Coturnix japonica: one gene and its partners. The main gene of each other region encodes a partner of the protein of the gene in region 5 in a complex. Links are inferred from orthologs where the notes say so. Each region holds a gene or a part of one and is shown on either strand. Other genes may lie near its edges.

Evidence for each region.
Region 1: CWC22 (region 5) and SNRPF share a complex: the UniProt entries of both Homo sapiens proteins name them as parts of the minor spliceosome. The link is inferred for Coturnix japonica from reciprocal best matches to the Homo sapiens genes CWC22 and SNRPF.
Region 2: CWC22 (region 5) and SNRPD3 share a complex: the UniProt entries of both Homo sapiens proteins name them as parts of the minor spliceosome. The link is inferred for Coturnix japonica from reciprocal best matches to the Homo sapiens genes CWC22 and SNRPD3.
Region 3: CWC22 (region 5) and RNF113A share a complex: the UniProt entries of both Homo sapiens proteins name them as parts of the minor spliceosome. The link is inferred for Coturnix japonica from reciprocal best matches to the Homo sapiens genes CWC22 and RNF113A.
Region 4: CWC22 (region 5) and CRIPT share a complex: the UniProt entries of both Homo sapiens proteins name them as parts of the minor spliceosome. The link is inferred for Coturnix japonica from reciprocal best matches to the Homo sapiens genes CWC22 and CRIPT.
Region 6: CWC22 (region 5) and RBM48 share a complex: the UniProt entries of both Homo sapiens proteins name them as parts of the minor spliceosome. The link is inferred for Coturnix japonica from reciprocal best matches to the Homo sapiens genes CWC22 and RBM48.
Region 7: CWC22 (region 5) and SNRPE share a complex: the UniProt entries of both Homo sapiens proteins name them as parts of the minor spliceosome. The link is inferred for Coturnix japonica from reciprocal best matches to the Homo sapiens genes CWC22 and SNRPE.

What each region holds. Positions count from the first base shown.
Region 1 is NC_029516.1:41,570,156-41,573,043, forward strand, and holds SNRPF (small nuclear ribonucleoprotein F), read left to right. Parts: upstream 1-1,241; 5' UTR 1,242-1,395; coding exon 1,396-1,398; intron 1,399-1,482; coding exon 1,483-1,608; intron 1,609-1,709; coding exon 1,710-1,774; intron 1,775-2,248; coding exon 2,249-2,315; 3' UTR 2,316-2,374; downstream 2,375-2,888. UniProt on the Homo sapiens protein: Plays a role in pre-mRNA splicing as a core component of the spliceosomal U1, U2, U4 and U5 small nuclear ribonucleoproteins (snRNPs), the building blocks of the spliceosome.
Region 2 is NC_029530.1:7,447,977-7,452,101, forward strand, and holds the start of SNRPD3 (small nuclear ribonucleoprotein Sm D3), read right to left. Parts: upstream 2,806-4,125; 5' UTR 2,689-2,805; intron 2,411-2,688; 5' UTR 2,387-2,410; coding exon 2,261-2,386; intron 1,576-2,260; coding exon 1,386-1,575; intron 483-1,385; coding exon 421-482; 3' UTR 1-420. Other genes in the region: protein GUCD1, read left to right, coding at 2,811-3,021. UniProt on the Homo sapiens protein: Plays a role in pre-mRNA splicing as a core component of the spliceosomal U1, U2, U4 and U5 small nuclear ribonucleoproteins (snRNPs), the building blocks of the spliceosome.
Region 3 is NC_029542.1:2,229,018-2,233,240, reverse strand, and holds the start of RNF113A (E3 ubiquitin-protein ligase RNF113A), read right to left. Parts: upstream 2,803-4,223; 5' UTR 2,739-2,802; coding exon 2,639-2,738; intron 2,423-2,638; coding exon 2,346-2,422; intron 2,250-2,345; coding exon 2,145-2,249; intron 1,265-2,144; coding exon 1,157-1,264; intron 881-1,156; coding exon 771-880; intron 557-770; coding exon 450-556; intron 41-449; coding exon 1-40. UniProt on the Homo sapiens protein: Required for pre-mRNA splicing as component of the spliceosome. As a component of the minor spliceosome, involved in the splicing of U12-type introns in pre-mRNAs. E3 ubiquitin-protein ligase that catalyzes the transfer of ubiquitin onto target proteins.
Region 4 is NC_029518.1:23,890,170-23,894,211, forward strand, and holds the start of CRIPT (cysteine-rich PDZ-binding protein), read left to right. Parts: upstream 1-1,225; 5' UTR 1,226-1,258; coding exon 1,259-1,328; intron 1,329-1,422; coding exon 1,423-1,488; intron 1,489-2,153; coding exon 2,154-2,208; intron 2,209-2,945; coding exon 2,946-3,049; intron 3,050-4,042. Other genes in the region: PIGF (phosphatidylinositol-glycan biosynthesis class F protein), read right to left, coding at 799-1,026. UniProt on the Homo sapiens protein: As a component of the minor spliceosome, involved in the splicing of U12-type introns in pre-mRNAs. Involved in the cytoskeletal anchoring of DLG4 in excitatory synapses.
Region 5 is NC_029522.1:13,097,052-13,100,579, reverse strand, and holds part of CWC22 (pre-mRNA-splicing factor CWC22 homolog), read right to left. Parts: coding exon 3,424-3,528; intron 3,332-3,423; coding exon 3,125-3,331; intron 3,015-3,124; coding exon 2,952-3,014; intron 2,572-2,951; coding exon 2,476-2,571; intron 1,994-2,475; coding exon 1,912-1,993; intron 1,571-1,911; coding exon 1,510-1,570; intron 1-1,509. UniProt on the Homo sapiens protein: Required for pre-mRNA splicing as component of the spliceosome. As a component of the minor spliceosome, involved in the splicing of U12-type introns in pre-mRNAs. Promotes exon-junction complex (EJC) assembly.
Region 6 is NC_029517.1:20,668,889-20,673,044, forward strand, and holds the start of RBM48 (RNA-binding protein 48), read left to right. Parts: upstream 1-1,342; 5' UTR 1,343-1,544; coding exon 1,545-1,670; coding exon of another isoform or gene 1,671-1,760; exon of another isoform or gene 1,761-1,782; intron 1,783-1,840; exon of another isoform or gene 1,841-1,869; coding exon of another isoform or gene 1,870-1,983; intron 1,984-2,626; coding exon 2,627-2,817; intron 2,818-2,943; coding exon 2,944-3,089; intron 3,090-3,758; coding exon 3,759-4,156. Other genes in the region: PEX1 (peroxisome biogenesis factor 1), read right to left, coding at 1-577, 667-781, 1,022-1,105, 1,199-1,342, 1,632-1,760. UniProt on the Homo sapiens protein: As a component of the minor spliceosome, involved in the splicing of U12-type introns in pre-mRNAs.
Region 7 is NC_029541.1:2,015,837-2,020,113, forward strand, and holds SNRPE (small nuclear ribonucleoprotein E), read left to right. Parts: upstream 1-1,469; 5' UTR 1,470-1,575; coding exon 1,576-1,629; intron 1,630-2,161; coding exon 2,162-2,188; intron 2,189-2,570; coding exon 2,571-2,633; intron 2,634-2,726; coding exon 2,727-2,805; intron 2,806-3,481; coding exon 3,482-3,537; 3' UTR 3,538-3,759; downstream 3,760-4,277. Other genes in the region: MTCH1 (mitochondrial carrier homolog 1), read right to left, coding at 1,172-1,369. UniProt on the Homo sapiens protein: Plays a role in pre-mRNA splicing as a core component of the spliceosomal U1, U2, U4 and U5 small nuclear ribonucleoproteins (snRNPs), the building blocks of the spliceosome.

The DNA of each region.
Region 1 (2,888 bases), on a different chromosome or scaffold from region 5:
TCCCCGGAGCCTTTTCTTCTCCAAGCTAAACAAGCCCAATTCCCCCAACCTTTCTTCATAGGAGAGGTGCTCCACCCCTATGATCATCTTAGTGACCCTCTTATGGACCCATTCCAAGAGTTCCACAGCTTTCTTGTGATGACGGCTCCAGGTCTGGGCACAGTACTGCAGATGGGGCATCACAAGAGCTGAGCAGAGGGGGACGATCACCTCCCTCTCCCTGATGGCCACCCCTTTTTAATGCAGCCCAGCACACCATTGGCCTTCCAGGCTGCAAGCACACACTGCTGGTTCACATCCAGCTTCTCATCCACCAGGACCCCCAAGTCCTTCTCCAAGTCATGCATCAGAGGAACTGACTATATGAAGAAAAGAATGTAGCTGGTCCTGTACTTCTTGGTACACAGCTTTCCCAACACAAGTAGGAGACATGATAAAAGTTGGTTCCAAACCTAAAAAGTGCTGTTTACAGACAAAACACTCATATTGTTCTATTGTCATTCACATATACACCATTAACAACTGTCAGAAAAGTGCAAGTCTTCCATGGCCTTTAACCCAAAGGACTCATGCTGAGCTCATTGCATTCTGACGCCTTGTATGTTTTCACTCCAAGTTCTCTATTCTTTGCTGCAAGGGGCATGAAAACCGTCCATATACACGATTTCCCACATTGTTTATTATTTCCTACATATCCTCAGCACTAACTTCCTTGCAATAAACTTATAAGCAATTCTCTTTCAACTGGCGCCCAGTGAGTTTTACTGTCAGAAAGAAAAAAAAAAGCTTTATTTTAACGTTATCTCTGTTCCCCAGCCAACACATGAGGACAAACACATCCATTATAAATTATCACAGAAACAAATACGAGTGCACTTCAGATAAACATTTATTAAGAAGAATCGTAATTGCTGCTCTTATCCTATCCATCCATAAAGGTAGGGATGTGAGGGGGGACATTCTGGATCTGCAGAAGACACGGTGTGAGGCAGCCGGGGGCTGAGGGAGAGGTGGACAGGGAAGGGGAGGAGAGGGATGGAGGGGCAAAGGCCTAACAGAGCAGAGCGGCGGCACAGTGCTGCGCTGCCACCCCCCGGCCACCACAGACGACACAACCAGAGGTGGTATACGACCATTGGCTGGAGCAATGAGGAGGGCGGCCATTCCAACTAATAAGATTGAGCCCACAACCCCTTTTCCCTTCGCGCTCCGTGGCTCCGTAGCCAATCGCGAAGGCGGCGCGGCGGGGTGAGAGGTTGGAGGTCGGCGCGGCGGCACGGAAGTGGAAGTGGAAGGTATCTCAGCGCTGCCTTCCATTCTGCCTCAGCCCGCGGCGCGCACGAGGCGATCCCGCCTGGCTCTGCGCTTCTCGGGCCGCCATCGCGCCCCATCGCCATGGTGAGGGCAGGGCAGGGCAGGGTGGGGGGAGGCTGTCGTTAGCGGTTGGGATGGCGGGCGGTGCTGACCATTGCTCTCCCCTAGAGCCTGCCGCTCAACCCGAAGCCCTTCCTCAACGGGCTGACGGGGAAACCGGTGATGGTGAAGCTGAAGTGGGGGATGGAGTACAAGGGATACCTCGTCTCCGTCGACGGCTACATGAACATGCAGGTGAGGGATGGAGGGAGGGACCCGGGCCTTGCTTGCTTGTGGGAGGGAAGCAGTAGTGAGGCTCCTGTTGGTGTAATGTTTGTGCTGATTTTCGTTCCAAGCTTGCAAACACAGAAGAGTACATCGATGGAGCACTGTCTGGACACCTGGGAGAAGTTTTGATAAGGTAATCGTGGTGCCTGAGCTGGGGAACGGGGTCTTGTGGGGACTTCTGTGTCTTGTGTTACTGCTTTGTTGAAGCTGGTGGATCTAGGGGATGTGCTTGTGTTTTAAGTTGAAAGAGGGAAGATTTAGGTTGGATGTTAGGGGAAAGTTCTTTACTAGAAGAGTGGTTAGGTCCTGGAACAGGCTGCCCAGTGAGGTTGTGGATGCCCCGTCCTTGGAGGTGTTCAAGACCAGGTTGGACGGGGCCCTGGGCAACCTGATCTAGTAAATGTGTATGTTTGGTGGCCCTGCCAGACAGGGGGGTTGGAACTACATGATCCTTGAGGTCCCTTCCAACCTGGGTAATTCTGTGATTCTGTGTGATTCTGTGTATTGGAGCACTAAATGCTGCTGTAACTCCCATGTGAAGTGAACATTGTATTTGCGAGGGAAATTAAGACATTTCAACTAAGGGAGCTCTTGATTCTATTTACAGGTGCAATAATGTTTTGTACATCAGAGGTGTGGAAGAAGAGGAAGAAGATGGAGAAATGAGAGAATGATGATTTGTATATCTGGAAATAAAGGGTTTTTTTTCTTTTTTTTTTTTTCTTTTCCACAACGTTGTCATCAGGTGTTTATTTTGTTCTTGTATTTGACTATGGGGGGAGTTCACCCAGAGGCTATAAAGAGTCATGAATTTCAGTGGCATTCATAGAGCTAAAACAGCCTGTGGAATGGGAATGCCTGATCTCAATCTGCAGTATTATGGAAAGAACACACAAAACACTAACAACAGGCCACTCTTTGTTATCAGGCATCCAGATAACTGAAGTTTTGGCAGGAACATAATTGCTTTCTCAAATGTTAAGAGCAACCATTGACATTAACCGAAGCTGTTCTGTACCTATCAGCATTTCCTAAAGGTAACCATTGCTTTGCTGATGCTGCTAGTCAGAGCCTCCCCTTGTGAAGGATCTACTTGCATCTCTAGGCTGGAGAGAGGTTCTACAAGCCAAAACACAAATGGCTGTACCTCATGGATTTGTGTGTGACTTTGCGCTGTCTCATCAGTGACCATTTGTCTTACATCTATTCTCAAATACACAGGTATACTTTCAGTGCTACAGATGGAT
Region 2 (4,125 bases), on a different chromosome or scaffold from region 5:
GCTACCTCAGTTTGACTGTTTGCTCTGTAAATGCAGGTGATAACACAACCTTAAAACAACATTAAAAATTCTTCATGAAGAATAACTTCTAACTCTTTAGAGGGTAAATTACAGCAGTATTGAACAAAAAGGAAGCAAGATGATCTTTGAAACTCAATGCATCACACAAAAGTACAAAGAAATCAAATCCATGTCCACTGTTTTCTAGACAACGCACTTTGAAATCCACCTCCAACGTATTTGCCAGCTACAGAAAGAAGCCAGAACTCTATTGTGCCTAAGAGGAGCTCTGTCATATAACAGCAGACAGGGTTTTGTCAGAAACATTTATTAAACAGAAGTTACCAACATATATGTAGACAAGTTAAGAGCCCCTTTAATAATAATAATAAAAAAAAAGCATTTTGGTCAAGACCAAAATTATCTTCGCTTCTGGAAGATGTTGCCACGACCCATACCACGGCCTCTTCCTCTTGCAGCCACTGAAGAAAGAAAACATCAGGGATGACATGAATTTGATGCAACACATTTATCTCAACAAGTGACAAACCAAACATCAATAACTCTCAGTCTCTTCCTTAGAAGCACAGAAGTTAAGCTACAGTATGAGGCCTGGGAAGTGATAAAAGTAAATAGAAGTTTTCTGTGAAAACAACTGTAACTAACAACTACACAGCTTTGCTATTCATAACAGAGTATGCATTAAGAGCAATGAAATAGTAACACACCATTGTTCCTACTTTAAATTGTGTGAATCTGTAGCCAGAGAGATTTAAGACCTCCTGCTCTTCATACAGCGTGACAGAACTCGCTATATTTTGTCAGATGTTACTCCCCCACACATCCTTACTGCATTTGGTAGAGTTAACCAAGGGCTTCAGAGCCCATGATTATTTCTTGATCTTGTTATAACGAGACTGTTCACACAAAAAAGGTATTAAAGAGGATGAACTGCAGAATGGCTAACAGTTACTCATTTAAAAAACTTAAAGTATCAACCAAGTGTACGTATATGTGTGTGTGTGTGTATATATATATGTATGTATAAATATATATATATATATATATAAATATATATATAAATATATATTTTTTAAGCTTAAGAATACTTAGATCATCATACTTTGGGTAATCCAAACAGGCAGCAACCACATTTACAGAAAACCAAAGGTGAAGTTTTACCTAACTCTAGCAAGGCCACTTACTGTTCCTGAACTATCTGCAGTATCAGTATTGTGCATCAGTCTGAGTTTTGACTGCTGTCACTCATTCAGCTTCTTACAGCTCATCTTTGCTTAGTGTTAGGGATGAAAACATCTCAGTTTCTGTACAGCAAAACAGGAAGGTAAAGAGGGAACACCAGACCACAAACACACTGTACCCACCCTGAGCTTTGAGAATAGCTGCTTTTCCTCGGCCAGCTCCAGAGCCCTGGTTCTTATTCTTCATGCTCTTTAGCATAGGAGCGTTCTTCAGCATATCTGGTAAAATGAGAAACCGTATCTTGCTGCCTCTGTACACCTGCTCAAGCTGCGCCACTCGCCCATCCCTGTATGTCACTGTTATGTTGGACATCTGGAAAGTAAAGATCAGACAGTGGTCTCAAACACAGTTTGTTTTAAGTGGCCTTAAACATAGTTTTGTACTCCCACTACTCCTGCTCATGGAATATATATATAGCCAAGATTCAAGTAATAAACTCAAAGCCCTATCAAGCATACAGCCTTCAACTGTTATTGTTATATAAGGCATCTATAACCATTTAAACACAGTCTTAAAGCTTGCTAAAATTTAAGCAAACTCACTATTTTCCCCTCCTCCCCACTTGCTTAATTAGTTTTATTAGTTTTGTTTTCTTATTCAGATAGTTTAAATAAAGTTTTACTGGTCCCAGCTATTAAGGACATTTTTATTTCAACTACAACTTGCATGAAGTTATCAAAATTAAGGCTATTGCAATGCCTTAAAGTCCTCTGCATTAAGCACAGCTCTAAGCTCATAAATTAGAGTTTATTTATTATCAACAGGCAATAAACAAAGAACTGCTGAAGAGAAGGTGCTCACAGAGGAACCAGGAACAGGAAATCCCAATTCTGAGCAATTTGGTGTGCTCAGTAATCTGGAATTCACTTCATTACTGTAAGTGCACAGAGTAAAAGGGCTTTATTTATCCTAAGACTAAAAGTAAAAGGTCTTTAAATCCCGCTGTCAGTCTGCTGAGTGCAACCACTTCCAAACAGATGAGATAAACTTCTTTTACCTGGCAATTCATGTTGTCCTCAGCCTCAATGAGCTTCCCACGATACACCTCCCCAGTGTTGGTCTCGCAGGTCACAATGTGGCCCTCTGCCTCGTGCAGGACTTTAATGGGCACCCCGATGGACATGGCTGCAACACTGCGGCTCTACTCCTGGGACAGAGAGCACAACATAGAAGTGAATAAAGGAAACAAACTCCCAGTCGTTCTGCAGTTCGGCTTTGCCTACAGGAGCCGATTTGCTCCATTGAACAAAGGCCTCAGTGCTTTGGCAATACACGCCTATCCCAAGGCCCGGCCCAAGGCTGAGGGCAGCCCACCCTCTCAGCCCACATCTGCCGCCCTACGAAGCTGCAGGCACATAACAAACCCCCACAACAGACCCACCCCATAACAAACCGACCCTATAACAAACCCCCACCGACACTCACCTCCCACCAACCACCCTAATGGCCGCCGCCTTCCCGCCGTGCACAGAGCCCCGGAATCGGAAGGGCACAGGAGCGGATCCTGCTACTGCTCCTGTCCCTCAGGGTCTCGCTGCCTTATCACGATGGTTCCGCTGCACTTTTGTTCCTCCCGAAGGCAGCTCCCTCCCTCCCAGCTCCGAGCAGCCGCTTCGGGGTCCGCCCCCTCCGCAGCCGGGAGGAGCCGTCGCCGCAGCAGGGCATGGCGCGGCCCTAAGTCCGGCGGGGCGGGTAGTGAGCGGGCGGCCGCCGTCATGAGGAGCCCCCGGGAGCCGGGGGAGCCCCCTCCGCAGGCAGGTCAGTGACAGCTCCGGGGCCTCGGATCGGGGGCGGCCTGTCAAGCACTTGGTGGAGCTGAGAGTGCTCCGCCTTGTTTACAGCCGCGGGTCGGGCCGTGACAGCTCTGTTGGGGGTGGGGATGAGAAGCGGGCAGCGCTGGGCCTGGTTGTTACCTTTGAAGTCATAGTGTATGGAGAACAGGGACATCCACAGTGAGTTGTGGTGTTAGAAGGCCCTGGATGGTAACAGAGAATGGACCTGCTCATAACACAGCTCATAACACACCGCCAATGCTTACATTACTTCCTTCAAGCGGGATTTGAGGGGCTGTTTGTCCTTCTAAAGTATAATCAACATTGCTAACAAACACTGAGTACACCAATGGGTGTGTGCCAGCTTTCAAAGTTATGATTAAACCCAGTGACGTGATTGAGAAAGTGCACCGCGTTGTTGCTGCAATAAGCCGTAACTCAGTGAGAAAACAGTTTAAAACTGCAAGACATTGTCCATAAAGTTTTACATATAAAGCTGTGTTGAAACTGCAGCAGCCCCCAGGATGCTGAATGCTTTTTATCCCCATCTGAAAGCAGAGCTGACTCTGTGTTAGCAAAGGTTTCCAAGGGTCTGTACCAGATCGAAGGTAAAGTCATTAAGAAAAGCCTTTTATGATTAACTCACTTGGATTGTCTTTGAAGTTACAATGCCAAGCGGAAGCACTTCAGTCCATCAAGCAATCTGGGCTTTGCTGAAACTGAAACCACTACTACTGCCTGTAAAGAAATAACAAAGGATGAATTACTGATATTGCAGATTTTCTTGATATAGATTGGGTTTTGTCTCTCTTCTTTGGCCCTTTTACAGATGGTGTCATTTGTGAGCTGTCTTACCTTAAAAAATTACTCACAAAAAGACATGGCAGTAGAAGAGGCTGAAATCCATAGGGCTTGTAAGAAATCACTGCCTAGAGATCCTGGTTGTGTCTGTTTTTTACCCATTTGACCTATGACTTTTTGTTGGCACAGAATACAGAGCTGAGAACAAGCTGAATTGGAATGGTGAAGTACAGAAAAACATTCCCATATAACGACTGACAGCTTTTACATTTTACTCACACGGGGTGTT
Region 3 (4,223 bases), on a different chromosome or scaffold from region 5:
TGTTTGTAGTCTGAGCGGTCGTGGAGGAATTTGCAGCTGTCTGGAAAGCACAAAAGAGGGATGAACAATCTACCCCCATTGCCCAGCTGTTCAAAGGACACCTCATCCAGGGGCAGCCTGAGATTTGCTCAGTACAAGGTGAAACCCAATTACTTCTGTACCCACCCATGCTACAGGGCAGGGCCAAGAGAGATGAGGCCAAGAGAGGGCCTCATCCTGCCCTCTCAGGATCAACAGGCCACAAGCATCACGTTCTGGATGCCACAGCAAGAGCTCCAGCATTCACCCACATAGGAAAAGGAAAAGGAGATCCCACCACCTACATAACCTCAGGTGAGGAAATACTAACTCTGCAAACAGGTGCCCATGAATTACTAACTGTGCAATTTCATGCCACAAAACTTGGGCTCACCATCTGGATTGGATCCCTGCAGGCAAGACCCACTCACCTCCAAAGCCGCAGAACCCTGTTTCCTTGTAGTCCTTACAGATGTCTGGCTGGTAATCCCACCGCACCGTGGCCCTCAAGTGCTCTGGAGCACGGATGGGTCCTTTTCTGAAAGGGTGGGAGAAGGCTCAGTCCAGCTGTGTCACTGCAATGGAGAAAACCCCTGCGGGCCCGGCCAGAACCAGACACCAAACTCATTAGATAGGAACAAGCTCCAAAAACAGCATCATTTCAGCCCAGAAAAGTGCCCCTGGGGACAATGTCTGAAATTCTCTGTGGTTCTATGATCCACCCCCCCCATCCCAGGCTCGTCCCAACCTACCTGACCATTCCTGAAGAGGCATTTCCCATTGACGTGTCTTTGGGCTTCACATATTTCTGGTAATTGTTAATACCACGGTAAATTTTATCATCTTCTTTTCCTCTCAGTTCCTAGAAGAGAAAAAAAAAAAGGCAATTAGGGGTCAGAAGATCTTCATGTCACAAGCGAGCTTTTATCTCTCCCATACCAACCTCCCCTCCTGGCCATACCTTCCTTAATACCAAGTAGTCAATAACACCAGCAAGTCCCCCCATTTACATAGACAACACTTCCAACCTCTCAAATATGCAGGCAAGAAAAGACTCAAGGTCTTGGCATGCAAAAGGAGATGAGTAAGCACACACACTCCTGCATAGCATGAACTCTTAGAAGTGAGGCTGACCAACCTCTTGTATTTTCTGGCTGCGTTCGAAGATGGCCTGGGCATCTTTATCCTTCTCTGTGTCCAGTTCATACACTGCTGTGGCCCCCATGTCTTCTGGGCCAACAGGTTTCTGAAAAGCAAGAACAATATGTGATAACAGTAAAAAGAAAGGCTGCATGAGACAGAAACCCCTCGGCTACCTGGAGGGCCAGTCACTGAACAAGTGCTGGGCATGGCCTGCTTCACCCTCCAGCAGTTTCTAACTTCTATTAGCATCTTCTCTTAGCATCCAGCCTAGTACTTGTGCAAGACAGGATGTTAATTACTGACTGCTCCCAGGTTTTAGTTTGCAGAGTCAGGACACAGAAATCCCCACTTTACTCCTTCAAGCTTCATCTTGTCTTAGCTGGAAACTGATCTCAGGTCTCTCATGTTCAGTGCTTCAGCCATGAGACCACCCAGCCCACAGGCAGGATGTTATATCTGAACTTTTAACCCAGCTGTGGGCAGCCTGTGCTCTGTTTTAATTCAGTGATCTAGTCTTGGTTCCTTGTGAATACAGTGAACAGACAAATGCTCTGAGGTTCTGTCAGCTCTTCATTTGCACAGAAACCAAATAATTACAACCAGCCTCAAATTAAAAACAAACCCATCTTACACACCAAAAGCTTCTGGAACCCCAAAGGCTCCACCTCCTCCTAAGAACGTGCTGCCCTGCCCTTCAAGTATTAGGGCCACAATGAGGTCTCCCCGGAGCCTTCTCTTCTCCAAGCTAAACAAGCCCAGTTCCCTCAACCTTTCCTCCCAGCAGAGCTGCTCTGAGCTCCTTGTTGAACAATGCAGAATATCAGGAGAATAAACCCAGCTTGTGTGTTAGGAGGGGAGGGACAGGGAAACACAGCTACAGATCAAAACTGAGAAGAGCTGATGGCACATTTACAGAAGCAGAGTATGGGATATGAGTATGGGATTAACCCCACCCCAGAAGCTCATCTGCGCTCAGTCCTTACCGCCGACCTTGTTGATTTGTACGTGACTCCGATCTCCTTCGACGGATCATCATCATCGCTGCTGCTCAGGGCGTATGAGGGCCGCTCCTTTGTGCACCTCCTGGTCTGAAGGGCGGACAGACAGACAGACAGACAGACAGCGGGTGTGAAGGCTGGATGTGCCCCACACAACAACAGCACAGCGCCCTGTGTGCACCTCACCTTCTGGATCATGGGGTTGGGGGCGTCCCTCCGTCGCTCCTTCCTCACCACGGTGCTGCCCTCATCGCCGCTGCTCCCTGCGGGGTTTAATGGGGTTTAATGGGGTTTAATGGGGTTTAATGGGGTTTAATGGGCCTGACCGCGGGGCTCCGGGGATGGAGGCAGCGCCCCTCAATCACACAGCTCAATAACCGGGCCCCACTGAGGGGCTGTACGACCCACGGCCTTCCTCCGCCTCCCTCGTGCACCACAACAGGCCGCATCGGGATATACCACCCCCGTCAGCCCCTCACCCTGCTCCTGGTCGCTGCTGGGCCGCTTCCGCCGCCCCCTCCCCGCCGCCAGGCCCCGCTTCTTGAACACGAAGCCGCACACTGAGCCTCCCTCCGCCATCTTGAGCCGCCGCCTCAAGACAGAGCGGCACTAGATGGGCGCAGAGCCGCACAGCGCCCCCTGCTGGACGGGAGGACTCGGGCCGCATAGCGCCACCTGCAGGCGTGGAGGGTGAATTGCGAGTCGCCATAGCAACCCCAACAGAACACCAATAGAACCCGAATAGAACCCCAAAAGAACCCGAATAGAACCCGAATAGAACCCCAGCAGAACCCCAGCAGAACCTCAACAGAACCTCAACAGAACACCAGCAGAACCCCAGCAGAACCCCAGCTGAACCTCAACAGAACCCCTATAGAACCCCAACAGAACCCCAACAGAACCCTAATAGAACCCCAACAGAACCCTATAGAACCCCAGCAGAACCCCAACAGAACCCAATAGAACCCAACAGAACCCAATAGAACCCCTACAGAACCCAATAGAACCCCAGCAGAATCCCAACAGAATCCCTACAGAACCCCAACAGAACCCCAGCAGAACCCCAATAGAACCCCAGCAGAACCTCAACAGTACCCTAATAGAACCCCAACAAAACCCCAGCAGAACCCCTACAGAACCCCATCCACCATCGCGGTTCCGCTCGCTGGGTGGTACCCGCACCCCGAGCGCTGCTTCGCGACCCCGAGCGCAGCATCGCACCCACGGTGGGCGGCAGAATGCGGGGTGGGGGTATGGGGGGGGTATGGGGGGNGGGGGTATGGGGGGGGTATGGGGGGGTTGGGGAGGGGGGTCGGTGGGATGGGGCCGGCGATGCGGTTTTGGGGTGGGGGCAGCGGGGGCCGCCGGGTGAGGGAGAGGCGGCCGCACACAAAGGAGCGGCGCTCGGATCCGCACCGCGCAAGGAACCAATCGCCGCCACGGCCGCGCGATAAAAGGGGCTGCGGGGGGAGCGCGCACGGAGCGAGGAAGGGACGGAGCGAACGACGGAGATACGGACGGACAGAGCAACGGACAGCACGGGGAGGGCTCAGCCCTTGTGCTGCTCGGCGGCGGACCCGGGGGTATGGTGGGTTTGGGTTTGTCGGGAACAATGGGGGAGGGGAACAAAGCGGGGTGGGAGGGCTCGGAGATGATGGGGAGAAATGGGGGCTGCAGGTGGGGAGCCCCGATAGCGGTGCTGCCATATGGGGCTGCGCAGCAGGTGGGGGACCCCCCCCCCCAAAATGTCTGTGTGATCCTCCAGGGGGGAACTTCTGCTCCGGGAGGCGGCTCGGTCGAGGGACTTTAGGGTGGGGGAGCACTCGGGGGATGCTGTCTGAGCTCTGGATGCCTTTTGGGGTTGGGATTCTGTTGGGAAATGGAGAGGGGTCCGCACCCGGTGCTGAGCGGGGAGGGGAGTGAATAGGGTCTGGGCGTGCGGTGTTTAGAGGGGGGTGGGTAGGAACATTTTGGGGTTCCCCAGCTGTGCTGAGCTCCCTCTTTGTTGTGTGCTGCATCCCGTGCTTGGGGGTGTGGTGGGGTTGGACAGATCCATTTTCTTAA
Region 4 (4,042 bases), on a different chromosome or scaffold from region 5:
CACAGCTGGTGGGGTTGCACGACTAAGCTGACTTCAAATTGTATTCTACCACTCCTGACCCAGCTATGTTTTACTCCTCTAACCTGTTAAATTAGGATCCACACCCTCAATGGTCCTATTACAAACTGTAACTACAAAGAAATCTCCCAGATTTAATTTCTGCAGATTTAGTCATTCAATGAAATGCAATTGTTCTGACACTTTTCAACTTCACTTTTTATAGTTTACCAACTTTCAGTGAGTCACAATGGCTTCAGTTGGTGGGGGCCTCAAAGCCCACCCATTTCCAACCCCCTGCCATGAGCAGGGCTGGCCACCACCAGCTCAGGCTGCCCAGACCCCCATCCAACCTGGCCTTAACACCTCTGGGGATGGGGCACCACAGCTTCTCTGGGCAGCTGTGCCACTGCCTCATCAAGTTTTAGTAGTAATGAGCTGTTCCCAATTTTACATCTCAGTTCCTACACAAAGAACAAAGCAATACTCTGCAATAACGAAGGTCAGGCCTAGACTGCAAAGTGAATTTCGTGCCCACTCTGGTGTGCCCCAATTCCTACCAGCATGCAGTCAGTGATAGACTTGTGACTACAAATCACAACCCCATGGGCAAGAAGTGTCAGGGATGCTCAGCCCAGAGGGCTGCTGGCAGGTGCAGACAGAGTTAAGCTCTGCAACTCATGGAAAACAAGAATTCACCACCAGAAGTTGTAACTTCTTTCTCATCACATCATTTCAGTGACAGGCTTAGCATCCTCTCCACATCACTCGATAGGAATCTAAGAAAGAAACAAATCTTACCTTGTTAGACAGCGAGCTTCTCTTAGAAGACGGACTTGGCTTTAGGATTAAACACAAGGTTACGTTAAGGACGCTAACACAGACAGAACAAACACACAGCCACGTGAGGTGAGTGCCCAAAACCGAGAACCCATCCAGGAACAAGGCCGGTACGAGTGCGGTCAGGACGATGGAGACGAAGCAGAGCAGGTTGGCAGCCAGCAGCCTCCTCAGCTCTGCCTCCTTCATGGCGCCGTGCCGCCGGCCACCTGCAACACAGCGAGCGGCACTCGGTCAGCGGGACTCAGCCGCACCAGCGGGGCAATGAGGGCGTTCTGGGGGAGAAAAGGGCTTTTTAGTGGTAGATTAACGACCCTCACGCTCGCACAACGTCCTAGGTCAGGCTCGCCCCGCGGGGCGGCCTAACAACGTGCGGGGCCCACCTGGCCCGTACCCGGGACGCCGGCCGCCCGGCAACGGGATGGCGTCAGCTCCGGGGCGGGTCCGGAAGCGGCGGTTGTTGTGCTGGGCGGCCATGGTGTGCGAGAAGTGTGAGTAGGGTGGGATTGGGGGGATCCCGGCACTAAGCGGGGTCTGAGGGCAGCGCAATTCTAATCGTTTATTTCGTGGTGTTTCTTTCCGTAGGTGAGAGGAAGCTGGGCACCGTGATCACTCCTGATACGTGGAAGGATGGGGCGAGAAACACCACAGGTAGTGTCGGTCGCTGGGTGTTCCCTGCGGGTCGTCCGGAGGGTTCGGGGGGCAGCCCCAAAGCCTGCTGGAGTTACCGGGTTGGCCCTTCACTGCTGTAGTTTCCATTGAGTGCAGTGAAGGGTTGTTTACCTCGAGCTTTTTGGCGTTGAATTTGTCCATCTCATTGCAGCCTTCCGTATTTAAAATGGGATCATTACCGGGGGGGGGGGGGGGGGGGAGAATCAACTTTTTACTTGAATAGGTAATGATAGAATGAGAGGTAATGGTTTTAAGCTCAAAGAGGGAAGGTTTAGATGGATGTTAGGGGAAGCTCTTCACACAGAGTGGTGAGGTGCTGGGGAGACTGCCCAGAGAGGCTGTGGAGGTGGTGAAGACCAGGTTGGATGGAGCCCCAGGAAACTTGGTTTAGTACCAGATCTGGAGGTTGGTGGCCCTGCCTGTGGCAGGGTGCTGGAACTTAACCATCCCTGGGGGGTCCCTTCCAACCCAACACTTTCTATGTTTACATTATGATCTTTCCCCTCATGTGGAAGGATGATATGCAGGGCCTGCCCATGCTATGTGCTTCATGCTTCACTTTGCTCTGATCACACATGCCCACATGTGGCAGTTGGAAGCTGGACTGTGAAATGCATTGCCTTGTGGTTGTATTTTTTTTATAGAAAGCGGTGGCCGTAAGCTGAATGAAAACAAGGCGTTGACCTCAAAGAAAGCAAGGTTAGTATTTAATCCTCATTTCAGCTTAAAAAATAATTCAATTTTCTGTAACTGAGACCTTGCATTCTCACAAAGCAGGGTAATTCCTCAAAACTTGTCCAAAATACAACTTAATTTATTCATTTCTTTTAACATGTTAATCCTTGGTGGCAGTGTGTATTTATGTATTTCATTGGGGCTTTCTGTGGAATTACAGAGCATGGGCAGCTGTATTGCTGTGGGCATCCCTAAAATTGGTAGGAATTGCTGTTTGTGTTAAGAGAGGGGCTGAAAAGGCTGTTTGTCTCTGTTTGTTGCAGGAGAGTTGGACTAGATGACATTTAAAGGTCCCTTCCAACTCACATGATTCTGTGATCTTCCATGCTAACATTACCTGTTCAAACGCTTGAGCATCTCCTTAATGTCTAAAGGATATTCTGTTATGCCAGGGGCAAGCCATTGTTGAAATGTATTTTGACTTTGAAATAGGCTTGTATCTTAAGAACAATGTGTGGTTTTAGTTCATCATTTATTAATTTAATTTCTATAACACAAGAAACCTCTCTTAATGGAGAAAATGGGAGGTTTTTTGTAGAAATTCTGTAGTCTATTAGAGTTGACCTCTTTATGTCCCTGTTTTTGATTGCAGTTTTTGCTGGAGTTTTTGTCTATTTCCTCTCGCATAGCATTTTTAGTATGAGATGAAGGAATTACTTTATTTCACTGTGCATAAACAAAGTACTTCTCCATTTTTCCAGGTTTGATCCTTATGGAAAGAACAAATTTGCAATATGTCGAATTTGTAAGAGTTCTGTCCATCAGCCAGGGTCTCACTATTGCCAAGGATGTGCCTATAAAAAAGGTGAGTTTCACTGAGAACTTTATTACCCCGCTTTGATTTGGAATTAGAGACCAAGTAGAAGTCTTTGATTTTGTTCTGTGAGGAAAAGAGAAGGCTGTGATGAGATTCAGTTACTGTCTTCAGCTAATAATAGGAAGGTATAGAAGGTGCACTGAGCCCCCATCACAGTGCACAGTGATGGAGAAGAGTGCAGAATTCTTTAATTCCATGTGAATAAAATAATTTTCACCATGAGGGTGGTCAAACATTGTAATAACAGGGACTCAGAACCCTTATGAAATCTCTACTGGAGAATATAAAATTTTATCAGTCTTGTGAATTTCAGGGGGCAAGCAAAATGGCTCAAACTTGTAATCCATGGGGGGAAAATAGTGCAACATGAACTCGGTTACCTTCTTACTATTGAAGAATTCACTCAGCACGCAGACATGGGCTGGATGAATTGTTAGATGTAGAGTCACAGCTAACTGGTAGTGATTTTTGTTTATGGAATAATGTTAATTGTTCTACAACTTCACACTGTGTCACTGAGTACATGGTTTGGAAGTCTGCTAACGGAGGGCTGCCTCTGGGTCATTAGTCTTCTCTGTTTCAACTCTCAGCTATTCTTGGTGTCCATTATATTTCTCTCTCGCACACTGTAATTAACTTAATTCTGTGAAACTGTATTCTTCTCAGCTTTCTCAGTTGCCGGTTAATCTTTCATTTAGCAATCAGTTTCTTGGCGCCTGTATTTCCTTAACCTTGCTACTTTCTGTCCATCTCAGGCTACAGGAATTCTAAAGTTTAGTTATATGCTATTTTTACCCGTTTGCCAGTTGGGATCCTTTTCCTGGCTGGCCTCCAGTAGTTCAGCAAATTCGAGGCTTCAGGTGCTGCTGTGAATCATAATGCTCTTAAAATAGAGTTTATTTTTTAAGTGGAAGTGTTACATGTATATTGCAATTATTAATTTGTGTTAAAAATCATATTACTACTAATGAATGTGCAATA
Region 5 (3,528 bases):
CATTCCAGAGATTACAGTCTTGCTGGTGAAAAGCTGCCATATTCTAGTCAACACCGTATCCTGATTGATTACTAGTAGTTCCATATACAGACTGTCAGAAAATTTAATTTATCCATCATTTCTTAAGTCTCAAAACTCGATCTGGAAGTTCCTTTGAGAGCTCTCCTGCAAAACTAAGAATGACTAACAACTTCTGCTTTTGCAGCGCAGAAGAAAAACACACATTTACCCATTTCTTTTGTGTACAACAACGTTCTTCCATTTCTAAAATTGTGACTGAGAGTAGAAATTCCTCAAAGCTCACAATTTTCTCTATTTCTATAAAATACTTCACAGGACTATGTAATAAAAAAAGATTAACACTTGGTAAAAGCACCACATAAAGTGTATGAGAAGTTAGACATTACATTCATCTGTGTTTATTTGCTTATTTTCATTTTTAAGTAAGGCAACCCACAAAAAGAAAAAGAAAATAACCTAACACCCAATTCTAAGTCAAATCTTACAAAAGACCTAGTTTTCCAGAATGAAGTGGTGGAAAAGTCTACTGCTTTCCGCACTTCAGATTCTGACTAAAGTGGGTTTTTCTTTTAAATATATGTTTTTTCCTTGCAGTTCTTGACCACAGAACAGACGACAGCTGAGAGCTGGGATTAAACACCAGAAGCTGAGAACCAGTGAGCAGACCAATTACTAAAGCAATGGTGCTCAAGTTATATCTGCACAGTATAACATAGTTTGTGCATTCCTGACTGTTATCTATGCGTTATAACTGAATTGTTTTTCTGCAACACAGCATTTTTTTCCCACTACTCAGAATTCTTCAGGTTATAGCTTCACTGGAAACCAGAACCCAATGCATGCATTTAGTGTTGAACCTTTAATTTTGTGCATGAAATGAATCAAATAAGACAAAAATATAGCAGTCACCTGAACTCTGAAATTACTTTCATGTGAATTGTTTACTGGCTAAAGAACAATTTTCCTTACTTGAGAACACACCTGCCTGCTGATCTCCAAGACTAACTGGCATCCATACAAAAATTGCTTTAAAACAATACACAGTATTACTAGGGAAAATAAACAAAAGCAACTATCAAAAACTGGAAGTAACGACGTGATTCATTCTTTTAATACCATCTTGTATTTCAATACCTGCCTGAAAATACCTCGATTCTCTTTCAGAGTCAGAGTTCTGAAAATGTCTTCCAAGTTACATTATTTTTGTTACCGGATAACCATTCCAACAGTCCAACCAATATATCTTTCCAGGCTTTAAACAAACATTTTAAACTGCTTGTCAGCAAGGAGCAATTACACAAGAGAAATGTGTTAAGAAATATGTCGTCCTACATGCTCTAAAGGTTTAAAGACATCTTAAGTAAAAACAGTTGTAAGGAGATGCTGTCATTCATCTACTTGCTACACAAATTAGGTCCCAGGACAAGTAAGTATTCTAAACTCTACGCAGCTATTTCATTTAATAGCAACAAAGAAAAATAAACTTACTGTTTGACTTTCAGGAAAATCCATCTTCAGCAGTTTGTGAGCACATTCTTCAAAGTCTAAGCTGAAATAAGTTGAAAAAAAGCAAACAAGTTTTCTTCTTATCCGTGCAATATACAGCTATACTAAAACACCTGAAATCCACTGACTTTCGTTCAGTCAAAAGGTTTGATTGGAGCAGTATTCACAGTCTTAGCAATCTAACTTGAAAAGTATTGTAGAACAACAATTTTTGCTTGGAATGATGATTTAAGAACCCACTGTCAAAATCATAGTCAACTTTCTAGCCTTTAAATCAAGTTCAGTATTTTTTTTTAATGATATGCTAAAGCAGGATTTAAAAAATAAGAGAAATTCAGTCACACCAAAAGAAATACAGCTGTGTATGAATTATACAATATTTACCTTGACTGAATAGCAAGATAAATTGTACGACGGAAGGAAACCAGGTTAATTTCTGTCTTGTCATGGACAGTAACTTTCTGGCCTGTGAAAGAAACACAGTTTGGAAATAACAAAGCATTACAATGTATTTTATACATCTACATATCTTGTAGAAAATATTTGTTTTTATTATGTCTGTACCACATTTGTGTAAAAATACCTTTTGTGGAAATATTTAAGACTTGGGCAGTAATGTGTTTGTATATTTATTTCTATCAAAGTAAAAAATTCAAAAACAGTGTTCACTTTATCTGTGACTAACAGGTAAATATTTAGAGATACAATAGAGTTACAGAAAGCCTCCTTTTATTATGTGCTACTATTAAACATTTATATTTCTGACTAACTGCAGATTAAAGCCTCCCTTAACACTGCAGTGTTCTTAGTTATATAAAACTTGAAACAGAAGTCAAGGTTTTCTTCACAGTTTAACCTACAAAAAAAACCCCATGCACAAAGAAATCCCAACAACCAAAAGACAAACAAAACTCCAAAACAAACAAAATTTGCCAGTCGTACACTTACCATCCTCATCCTCCTCTTCATCTTCCTCTTCATCTTCGTCACTACTTCCAGCCTCTTGATCTGCTTCAGACTCACTGTCACCTTCATCAAGAATTTCTGAAAGAGCAGCATGCCACATTAAAGGTGCACAGAACATAGTAGTTTCATTACCGAAAAAACAATTGATCTAACATCTAAGAGCAAAAGGATATCTCTGCTGGAAAAGGTACATCACAACCAACTTAAAACACAGCTGTAGGGACAATACTGAGGAAAGGGACAGGAATATGTTGGAAAGGAGTACGACAAACTCAAAGGCAGTTATCTGGGACACACATGCCACCCGCTGTTAAACAGTTAAACTGGTAACGATAGTTGGATAACTGAACAGCATACAAAAAACACAAAGTACATGAACACATATTTTACACATACCATGCATATATAATGTGTAGTAGACTATATATAACGTATAAAACACAAGTACACACACCTACCTTTCTTGAGCGCTTTGTATTTCTCCTCATTTTCCATAAAGTTGGGATCCATCTTGAAAACATCTTTAAAATAAAAAAGAATCCTTAAAATACAAAATGAAAATAAGACTGCACACCAAATCTTCAGTTTGTTTTTGTGAAAAACACAATCATGTAAAATATTTCTAACTTACTGAGAACATCCTCTGGGTTGTATTCATCTTCTAAAGGTAACATGTGAGTAAACTGATCTTCCTCTTCCACTAGATCTAAACCCTCTGGAATGATTGGATGATCCTTGAAGCCATCCTTCCGTACGGCAAACATAACTTCTATCATGTACTGAACACGCATGTCAATTTTAGATTCATGGAGAATGTGACGAAGACGGTCAAAGATTGCTTTGGAAAAAGTGGAATATTTAATATGTAAAAGGACTTAACATTAAGTTAATCACAAACAAGAAAAGGCTAACGTGTTGGCTCATACATACCATTAATACCTCTAGGAGAAACTTCTGTTAACTTGAGCCCACTCTCCTTAAGGAACCCAATTGCTACTTCAATACTGTCATCAGTAGGCCTTTCAAGAAGCAAGG
Region 6 (4,156 bases), on a different chromosome or scaffold from region 5:
TCTTGATGACGCTGTCTGGGGGAAAGCAGCCCGTTAATTTTCCCATAAGTTACTACAGCATTTGGATCCAAATCAGTATATTCTAAATTCTGTGGAAAAACATGAATGGCACCGTGTTTCAGAAATGCATGAACAGCTGATGCGTTCTGTACGCTGGGAGGCTGGGACTGGCATACTCTAAAAATGGAATCCATGTGAATTAAGTTCAGCAGCTTGTCTTTGAAGGCGCTCATTTCATCCTTATCACACAGAGTCTTTTGTTTCTGTTCAGCTGTACGAGAGAAAATGCTCCCTATGAAATTCCACATATTTGGGAGAACACTTGAGCCAAACGTCACATTTGCATCAGCCTTACTCTGTTCAGGGACTCCTGGGTTTAAGTGAGGTTGACTGGCAAAAGGCTCCTTTACAGTTACGTCTTGCTCCATGCTATTCTTCACAAAGCTCTTGAGTAAGATGTCACCTTCTGTAGAAGGCATGTCTACGACGTTTTCCTCAAGCTCACGCGCTTTGGGGCAGATCAGAAGCTCCGTGCAAGGTTCTAATCTCCCATAGGGGGCTGCTGGCATAAGTGTACCTGAGTATGGATAAATCAGATGAATGAATGCATCCACTCTTGCAAAACAGCTTACTCAAGGCACCAGCAAAGCATTCACTGCTGCTTACCAATTCTGATGTAAACGTGAGTGTGGTGTTCAACCCAAACAGGAAAGATGGCTTTGGGGAATACGATTCGGATCTGGTCCAGAAGATGCTTTTCAAGAGAGGAAGCGTGCAGTTCCTGGGAAAGTGTGGTATCATTGTAAGCTACACACTTGTACAACCTTTAAAATGTGTTTGAACATAGAAGATTCACATCTTTTTCTAATACACCATTTGAAACATAAAATACAATGAAAACCCACAAGACTTAGCATTTGCTTAGGAGCAGAAAAGAACGGGGGATTGCGACAAAAGCTTGTATCAACATTCTCTGTCATTTGCATGAAAATGATGTGAACAGTGGGACAGGTTTTCTTACCAGTATTTCCCAATCATCTGCTGAGAGCGGTTCCACTTCTACTTGCTGACAGGAGGAGACGTGTGAACAGGGCTCCACGAACACCTGATAGAAGCAACATTATTTCTGAATAATTTAACTCCTTAAACACATAAAACCTCTACTCAGAAACTCAAAAAAGGGACCTGCATTTCAAACCTGTTCTCCATCTGCAATGCCAAGCTTCTCTGCTAAATGCCTGTTCATCTCTGCGATATTTTCACCCCGCTGACCTCGATGCCTCATTTCCATCCAGCTCAGGTAGATGGGCTCATCACGGCAGGATACTTTGACAGCTTGGCCCTGTGATTATCAGGCAGATGAAACGAATTACTATCAAATCATACTCAGAAATACTCAGACCCATCTGGGTCCAGGGGCGAGGGGTCCCGGCCCGTTCGGAGGATGCACAGTCACCACAGCGACAGTGCGGGGGGCGGCTGGTTGCCCTGCGCTGTCGCTGTGGTGACTGTGCGTCCTCTCGAGGAGGGCTCTGAGCACCGCCATGATGACGGGATACGATGGGGGGAGGAAGGAGAACCTCTCTCCCACAATCCCCTCCGAACGGGCCGCCCCCATCTCGTCCCCGTACCTGCTGCAGGCGGAGGTGCGAGGCCAGCACGGCGGGCAGGTGAAGGAAGCAGTCCCGGGTCCCGCTCAGCACCACCGTCACCGCGGCGACTCCAGCGGCCCCTCCGCCGGGGTTACCGCTGCCCCACATGCCGCCAGCCGGGTGGGCCGGGCTGTAGTTGCTCGTTCCGCCCGGCTTCTCGGCAGCGCCCACTTCCTTCCCGGAAGAGCCGACCGGAGCCGCGGTGGCGGCCGGGAAGATGGCGGCGGGCGGTGCTGGCGGGCCGGGGGAGGCGTGTAGGCACCACCAGCAGCTGGGAGCATGCGGGTCCAGGGCCAAGTACCGCGAGGGGCGGCGACCCAGGGCCGTCAAGGTGCGGGGTGAGGGCGGGTGGGCTGCTGGAGACTTGTTTAGTCCGCAGGTGTCGGTGCTCTGACATCTGGAGAAGCATCAGCTCCAGCTGATGTTCTGTGATGTGTTCATCCCTGCTTGAGTTCATCCCTGCCCGCGGTGGCTCCACACAGCGGGCAGCACGAACGCTTTGAGTTGTTGTTTTCGCAGTGAGGTAAACGTGGGCATTTTAGAGCATTGAACAGCATCTCCCCTATGAGGAGAGACTTAGGGAAGTGGGTCTGTTTAGCCTTGAGAAAAGAAGGCTGAGAGGGGACTTGATCCAGGTTTATAAATACCTGAGGTGGGGAAGCCATAGTGGTGAGGCTGGTCTCTTTTCAGTAGTGCGTGGGGACAGGACTAGGGGTAATGGGATGAAACTACAGCATAGGAAGTTCTGCATTAATGTGTGGAAGAACTTCTTTACAGTGAGGGTGACGGAGCACTGGAACAGGCTGCCCAGGGAGGTGGTGGAGTCTCCTTCTCTGGAGATATTGAAGACCCGCCTGGACGCCTACCTGTGTGACATGGTGTAGGGAGCCTGCTTTGGCAGGGGGTTGGACTGATGATCTCTAGAGGTCCCTTCCAACCCCTACAATTCTGTGATTGTCCTGTGCTTCTTTCAGGTGTACACCATCAACTTGGAATCGCGTTATTTACTAATCCAGGGAGTTCCTGCGCTGGGCGTCATGAAGGAGTTAGTGGAGCAGTTTGCCTTGTACGGAGCCATAGAAGAGTACCATGCACTTGATGAATATCCCGCAGAGCAGTTCACTGAAGTTTATCTGATAAAATTCCAGAATCTGCAATGTGCCAGGTATTATACACAGCACTATCTGCCTTTTGTTGTTTTAATCCTTCACGGCCCCTTTATGTATGATCTACATCATACAGAGTTGAAGTAAAACCCTCAGCTCTGCTAATGCCATTTAGTTTCCTTCAGGGTGGCCAAGAAGAAGATGGATGAGCGCAGTTTCTTTGGGAGTTTGCTGCACGTGTGCTACGCTCCAGAATTTGAAACAGTCCAAGAAACCAGGGAGAAGCTGCAGGACAGAAGGAAGTATATTGCAAAAGCAACAAATCAAAGAGGTTTGTAGTTAAATCTCATGTCCAGTTTTAATTCCAGTGGTTGGTACGTCTTGGTAAAGCCAAAAGCATCCATTGATGAAAATATACTGTGTTTAGCTGTTTTACATTAGGACATTTCTCAGTTATTCCTAGAGATGGACCTTTCAGAAAGCAACGTTTTAGTTAACATGCACTTTAAAGCTTTTAAACCTCATTGTTTCCTTCATTTCTTTTCAAAACGTTACCTGAAATTTTAAGTACTGCCAGGAAACTGAGGATCAGTTTGTTCCCCTTGTTACAGTTCTTTCAGGCATACCCAAAAAGAGAGATTAGTAAGAGAGCCCCCTCCCTGCCCCTTATTTCCTGCCTGTCATTTGGGTCAGTAAGGAACACGAGGAATGGATTGGGCTGACAGGCAGCTTTGCTGCTGAGTTCCCAGGCAGCGCTGAAGGCTGGACAAGCTGTAAAATAAGTACAATGCCAGGCACAGGCTTCTCCTTTCCTATGCTTATGTACTTGGATATCATTATCCACTGCAGGTGCTGCTTAAGCAGAATCACAGGAAGGTGACTGGGAATGAAGTATTGCTGGTATTATTTCTGTCACTGTATTGAACACTTTATGTATTAGAACTAACAGTGGCATAAAATAATGAAGCTGTTTTCCTTTTCTTTTCTTGTTGTTTTAAAGACTGCTTTCTGTTGAAGAAAACAGAGAGGCCTCGGAGGACCAAGTCTGATTCTCAGTGGAGTACCCCAGGATCACATGCAGCCACTCACTGGGATCCATCCTGCTTTCCAGTTCCTCATGGGTTGTCCCAAAACATGGAATATCCTTCTGGCAATCACAGTCAGGACCTTTTGGCTTTTCCCCACTGCGACAACCCCAGTGCTGAAACCTCTGGGAACTCCAGTCAAAGCTCATCCCTAACTCAGAAGGCGCATCCAGGAGGATGTGCTGCACCAGTGCCTTTAATTCAGCAAAGAACAGTTCCAGCTGATAACGGCATTGACAGGTTTATGCCTCGTACAACTCACCTGCAGGAACGTAAGAGGAAGAGAGAAGAGGGTAACAAATGTGCCCTCACT
Region 7 (4,277 bases), on a different chromosome or scaffold from region 5:
CATGATATGGACAGTCCCTATGACAGATGGGTGTCCCATGATATAGGCAGTCCCTTTCCTGTTACTCCTCTTGGGGTACAGGAGGCCCCCATCCCCCTCATTTTATAGGGTTCCCTATTACAGAGGGGTTCTGAGGATGAAGAGGGATGAAGACCCACATTCAATCCTTTGTTATATAGGAATCCCCATTGTGTGGGTATCTTCATCCATCCCATTTTATGGGGTCCCCTCACCTGTCACATAAACAAGCCTCCACTGCACACGTTGGTCTTTATCTTTGGTATATATGTTTATATATGAGTTCCCATTCCCTGTTATACAGCTGTCCCTGATGCAGCAATATCCCAATTCCCACAGTGCTCCCCATTCCATCCTCACAGCTACAGGTGGGATCCATACACACAGATAACGGTGACTGAGTGCCACCCCATCACACAGCACGACCCTCCTCACCCCATTACCCCCCTCAACACATTATAAGGAGGGAACCCCCATTGCCACATATGGGGGATTCCCTTTACACAGGGTCCCCATAGCCCCCTATGGGGTTCCCCATCATTACACAGGCCGTCACCCCCATATTAACCCCCTCAACACATTATAAGGAGCTCCCATTGCCACATATGGGGGGTTCCCTTTACACAGGGTCCCCATAGCCCCCTATGGGGCTCCCCATCATTACACAGGCCATCACTCCCCCATTACCCCCCTCAACACATTATAAGGAGCTCCCATTGCCACATATTGGGGGGTTCCCTTTACACAGGGTCCGCCATAGCTCCCTATGGGCGTTCCACCATCATTACACAGCCTCACCCCCCATATTAACCCCCTCAACACATTATAAGGAGCTCCCATTGCCACATATGGGGGGTTCCCTTTGCACAGGGTCCCCATAGTTCCCTATGGGGTTCCCCATCATTACACAGGCCGTCACCCCCCATTACCCCCCTCAACACATTATAAGGAGGGAACCCCCATTGCCACATATGGGGGGTTCCCTTTGCACAGGGTCCCCATAGTTCCCTATGGGGTTCCCCATCATTACACAGGCCGTCACCCCATAGAGACGCCCCACGACCCCCCCTCACACCTCGGCCTACACCTCAGGCCTCCCCCCTGCCCCCACACGGGGGTCTCATCCCCCCCACACCCCCTTTAGGCCCCGGACCTGGACGAGCAGCTTGACGTAGAGCAGGGGGTGGCTGACGGCGGCGAGCCCAGCGCCCAGAGCCACGAACAGCCCCTCGGTACCGTCGGTTCGGCCCGGTCCGACCCCAGGCCCAGACCCGCCGCCAGGGGGCGCCAGCGCCACCGAGGGCAGCGGAGCTTCGCCCGCCATGGCCCCGCCGCCGCCACCACTGCGCATGCGCCGCCTCTTTGCGTATTGGTGGGCGGGATCTTAATGCGAGACAGCACTGGTGGGATCTGCGAGCAGTAGAGACGCGGTCCTCCCGCTTTCCTAGAGCGGCAAGTCTTCCAGCGTCCCTTGCGCGTTCCCGCCTTGCTCAGCGGCTTCCGGTGTTCTCTGCGACTTCCGGCGGAGCTTGTGGTGGCGGCGGGCAGGGAGTAGCCATGGCGTATCGAGGGCAGGGCCAGAAGGTGCAGAAGGTGATGGTGCAGCCCATCGTATCCTTGTCCGGAGGGGCAGGGGACGGGCCTGCGGGGCCTATGGAGCCTATGGGGCCTATGGGGCCTATGGGGCCTATGGGGCCTGTGGGGCCTATGGGGCCTATGGGGCCTGTGGGGTCTATGGGGCCTATGGGGTGTGTGGCCCTATGGGGGAATCTATGGGGCCTATGGGGTCTGTGGGGCCTTTGAGGCCTATGGGGCCTGCGGGGTCTCTGGGGCCGAGTGGGACCTTTGGGACCTATGGAGCCTGTGGGGCCTGTGGGGCCTGTGGGGCCTGTGGAGCCTATGGGGTCTATGGGGCCTGTGGGGCCTATGGGGTCTCTGGGGCCTGCAGGGCCTATGGAGCCTATGGGGTTTCTGGGGCCTGTGGGGTCTCTGGGGCCGAGTGGGACCTATGTAGCCTGTGGGGTCTATGGGGCCTATGGAGCCTATGGCGTCTCTGGGGCCGATGGCGAGTGGAGGGTAGGAGCGGCCCTGCAGGGCCTTGTGTCTCTCTGGAGTTGTTCCCGTCCTTAACGCTGCTCTACAGAACCTCATCTTCCGCTACCTGCAGAACGTGAGTACTGGGGCCGGGGCAGGGCTGGGTTCGCCTTTGGGTTTGTAACTTCTTGGCTGCTTTTGGAGCCCATCGGCTTCAAACGAAGAACTGGTGCTGTTTGGGAGCATAAGAGCTGGCTCAGAGATGAGCGTTCTCCCTTTGCATTAACACCTTTGTATGTTGATTGTGCCCCTGTGTGTGTAACACACACTCAATAACCCACACCTACAAGGTTCTGTGTTGGGAGTTGCTCTTTGGGGTGTTTCAGAGCTGCAGTGGCTGTTGGTTGCAAAGATTTCTCACCACATTACTAGCAAGGCTTTCTTAAATGCACAGAAGCAAAGACCAGCATTGCTTGAAGCATTTCTTTTCCAGTTTATTCACCCTGATTGTTTTGCAGAGGTCCAGGATCCAGGTGTGGCTTTATGAGCAGGTGAACATGCGGATAGAAGGCTGCATCATTGTGAGTACCAACATGTCCATGTGTTACCATTGGCTTTCCCACGTTCATGAGTCTGTGTGCTACCAACTGAGTGTTTTTGCCACTGATTTTCAGGGCTTCGATGAATATATGAACCTGGTGCTGGATGATGCAGAGGAGATTCACTCCAAAACAAAATCAAGGAAGCAGCTGGGTATGTCAACGTGTTATAGCATGAAAGGTGGTTGGGTGAGCCTTGCTGGTAGCAACACTTAAAGGTGGAAAGCACATGCCAGGTGTTGGTTTGGGAGAGCATTGGGCAGGTGCTGGCTCAGTCTTTGTTCCTGATGTTTGTTAAAGGTGATGATTTTGCTGAATGTAAAGGAGAATCTCCCTGTGCCTGAGACCAGTTGTTATCTTTTAAATGCTGTCTTTGTACAACTGAGGTGTCTGGAGGAGTCTGGTCCAAACTCCTTTGGGCTGTTTCTAAACTTGGTAGCCCTGAGCAATTCTCGTACCTGCTGGGTCAACTCTTGGCCAAAGCAGGAGCCACCTGACTGGTGGTATTTACTATTTACCGCTGCTGGAGAAGATAAAGCTGTCTGTGATGAGGGGATGCGTTGATTCGGATTGAGTTTATAGCAGGGACAGTGTTCTGCTGGGGCTGAGATGGTGTCTGAGAGTTGGGAGTGGATTATGAGTATGGACCCTGCCCTGCTATGCTTTCCATATGGGGCTGCCAGCAGGGATAGGACTCATTGCAACCCTCCCCCTCTATAATAGGGGCATCTTCTTGCAAGCATCTCCTGTTGTGGGATAATATGTGAAAACATGAGGTATTCTTGGATTCTGGGATCTCTCTAATCCCCCATTTCCTTTCTGTGTTGCAGGTCGGATCATGTTAAAAGGAGACAATATCACTCTTCTACAAAGTGTTTCTAACTAGAAATCGCTGTTCTTAGGGCAGTGATTGCAGTTCAGAATGGTTTGGAGTGAATGAAGAAGGTGCAGTGGGAGATCTACCCCTGCTGGTAGATAGAAAGTTACATGTAACTGGCATTGCATGCTGAGCTCAAAGTCCCCTCCTTTTGTAGGAGTGATTTTTTTTGTAGTCTGAAACAATAAGGGATGTATTTCCCAAATAAACATTTTTCACGTTGTCTGTAAACGGAAATCTGCATGGTTTTATTCTCAGCTTTCTATGCTTGGAGAAGGCAGAGAAATGTACATCAAGTGATTTGCTGTTGGTCCGATAAGTTCCTGATAGCTCTGTGCTTTTTGGGTAGTTACAACATGAGACAGGACAGGCTCTGGTGTCACTGTCAGGCTTGAGCATGCATGGCTCTAATTAAGTTTGTTAGAGGTTCTACGTGCAATTACCACCCTTTGTTGTCAAAACAGCTGGTTCCTTGGGTGCTTTCTGGTGGATCAGTGGGTTGGTGATGGATTTGAGGCTGTGATACAGTGATCCGACATCACAAACTATATTAATAGCTGTACTTTGGTAAAATATCATCATTAGATAGGGCAGCTGGTTGGGATTAAATCTATAATTTCTTCTTTGGGCAGCATCTCTGCATTAAATCCTAGTGCTGGGATGTCAGATGTGGCTGGATTTTATCACTATTATCCATGTAAGGATCTGTCCTATTTAAGTTTCCATAAGTGAGCTGAGTTTCTTAGTCC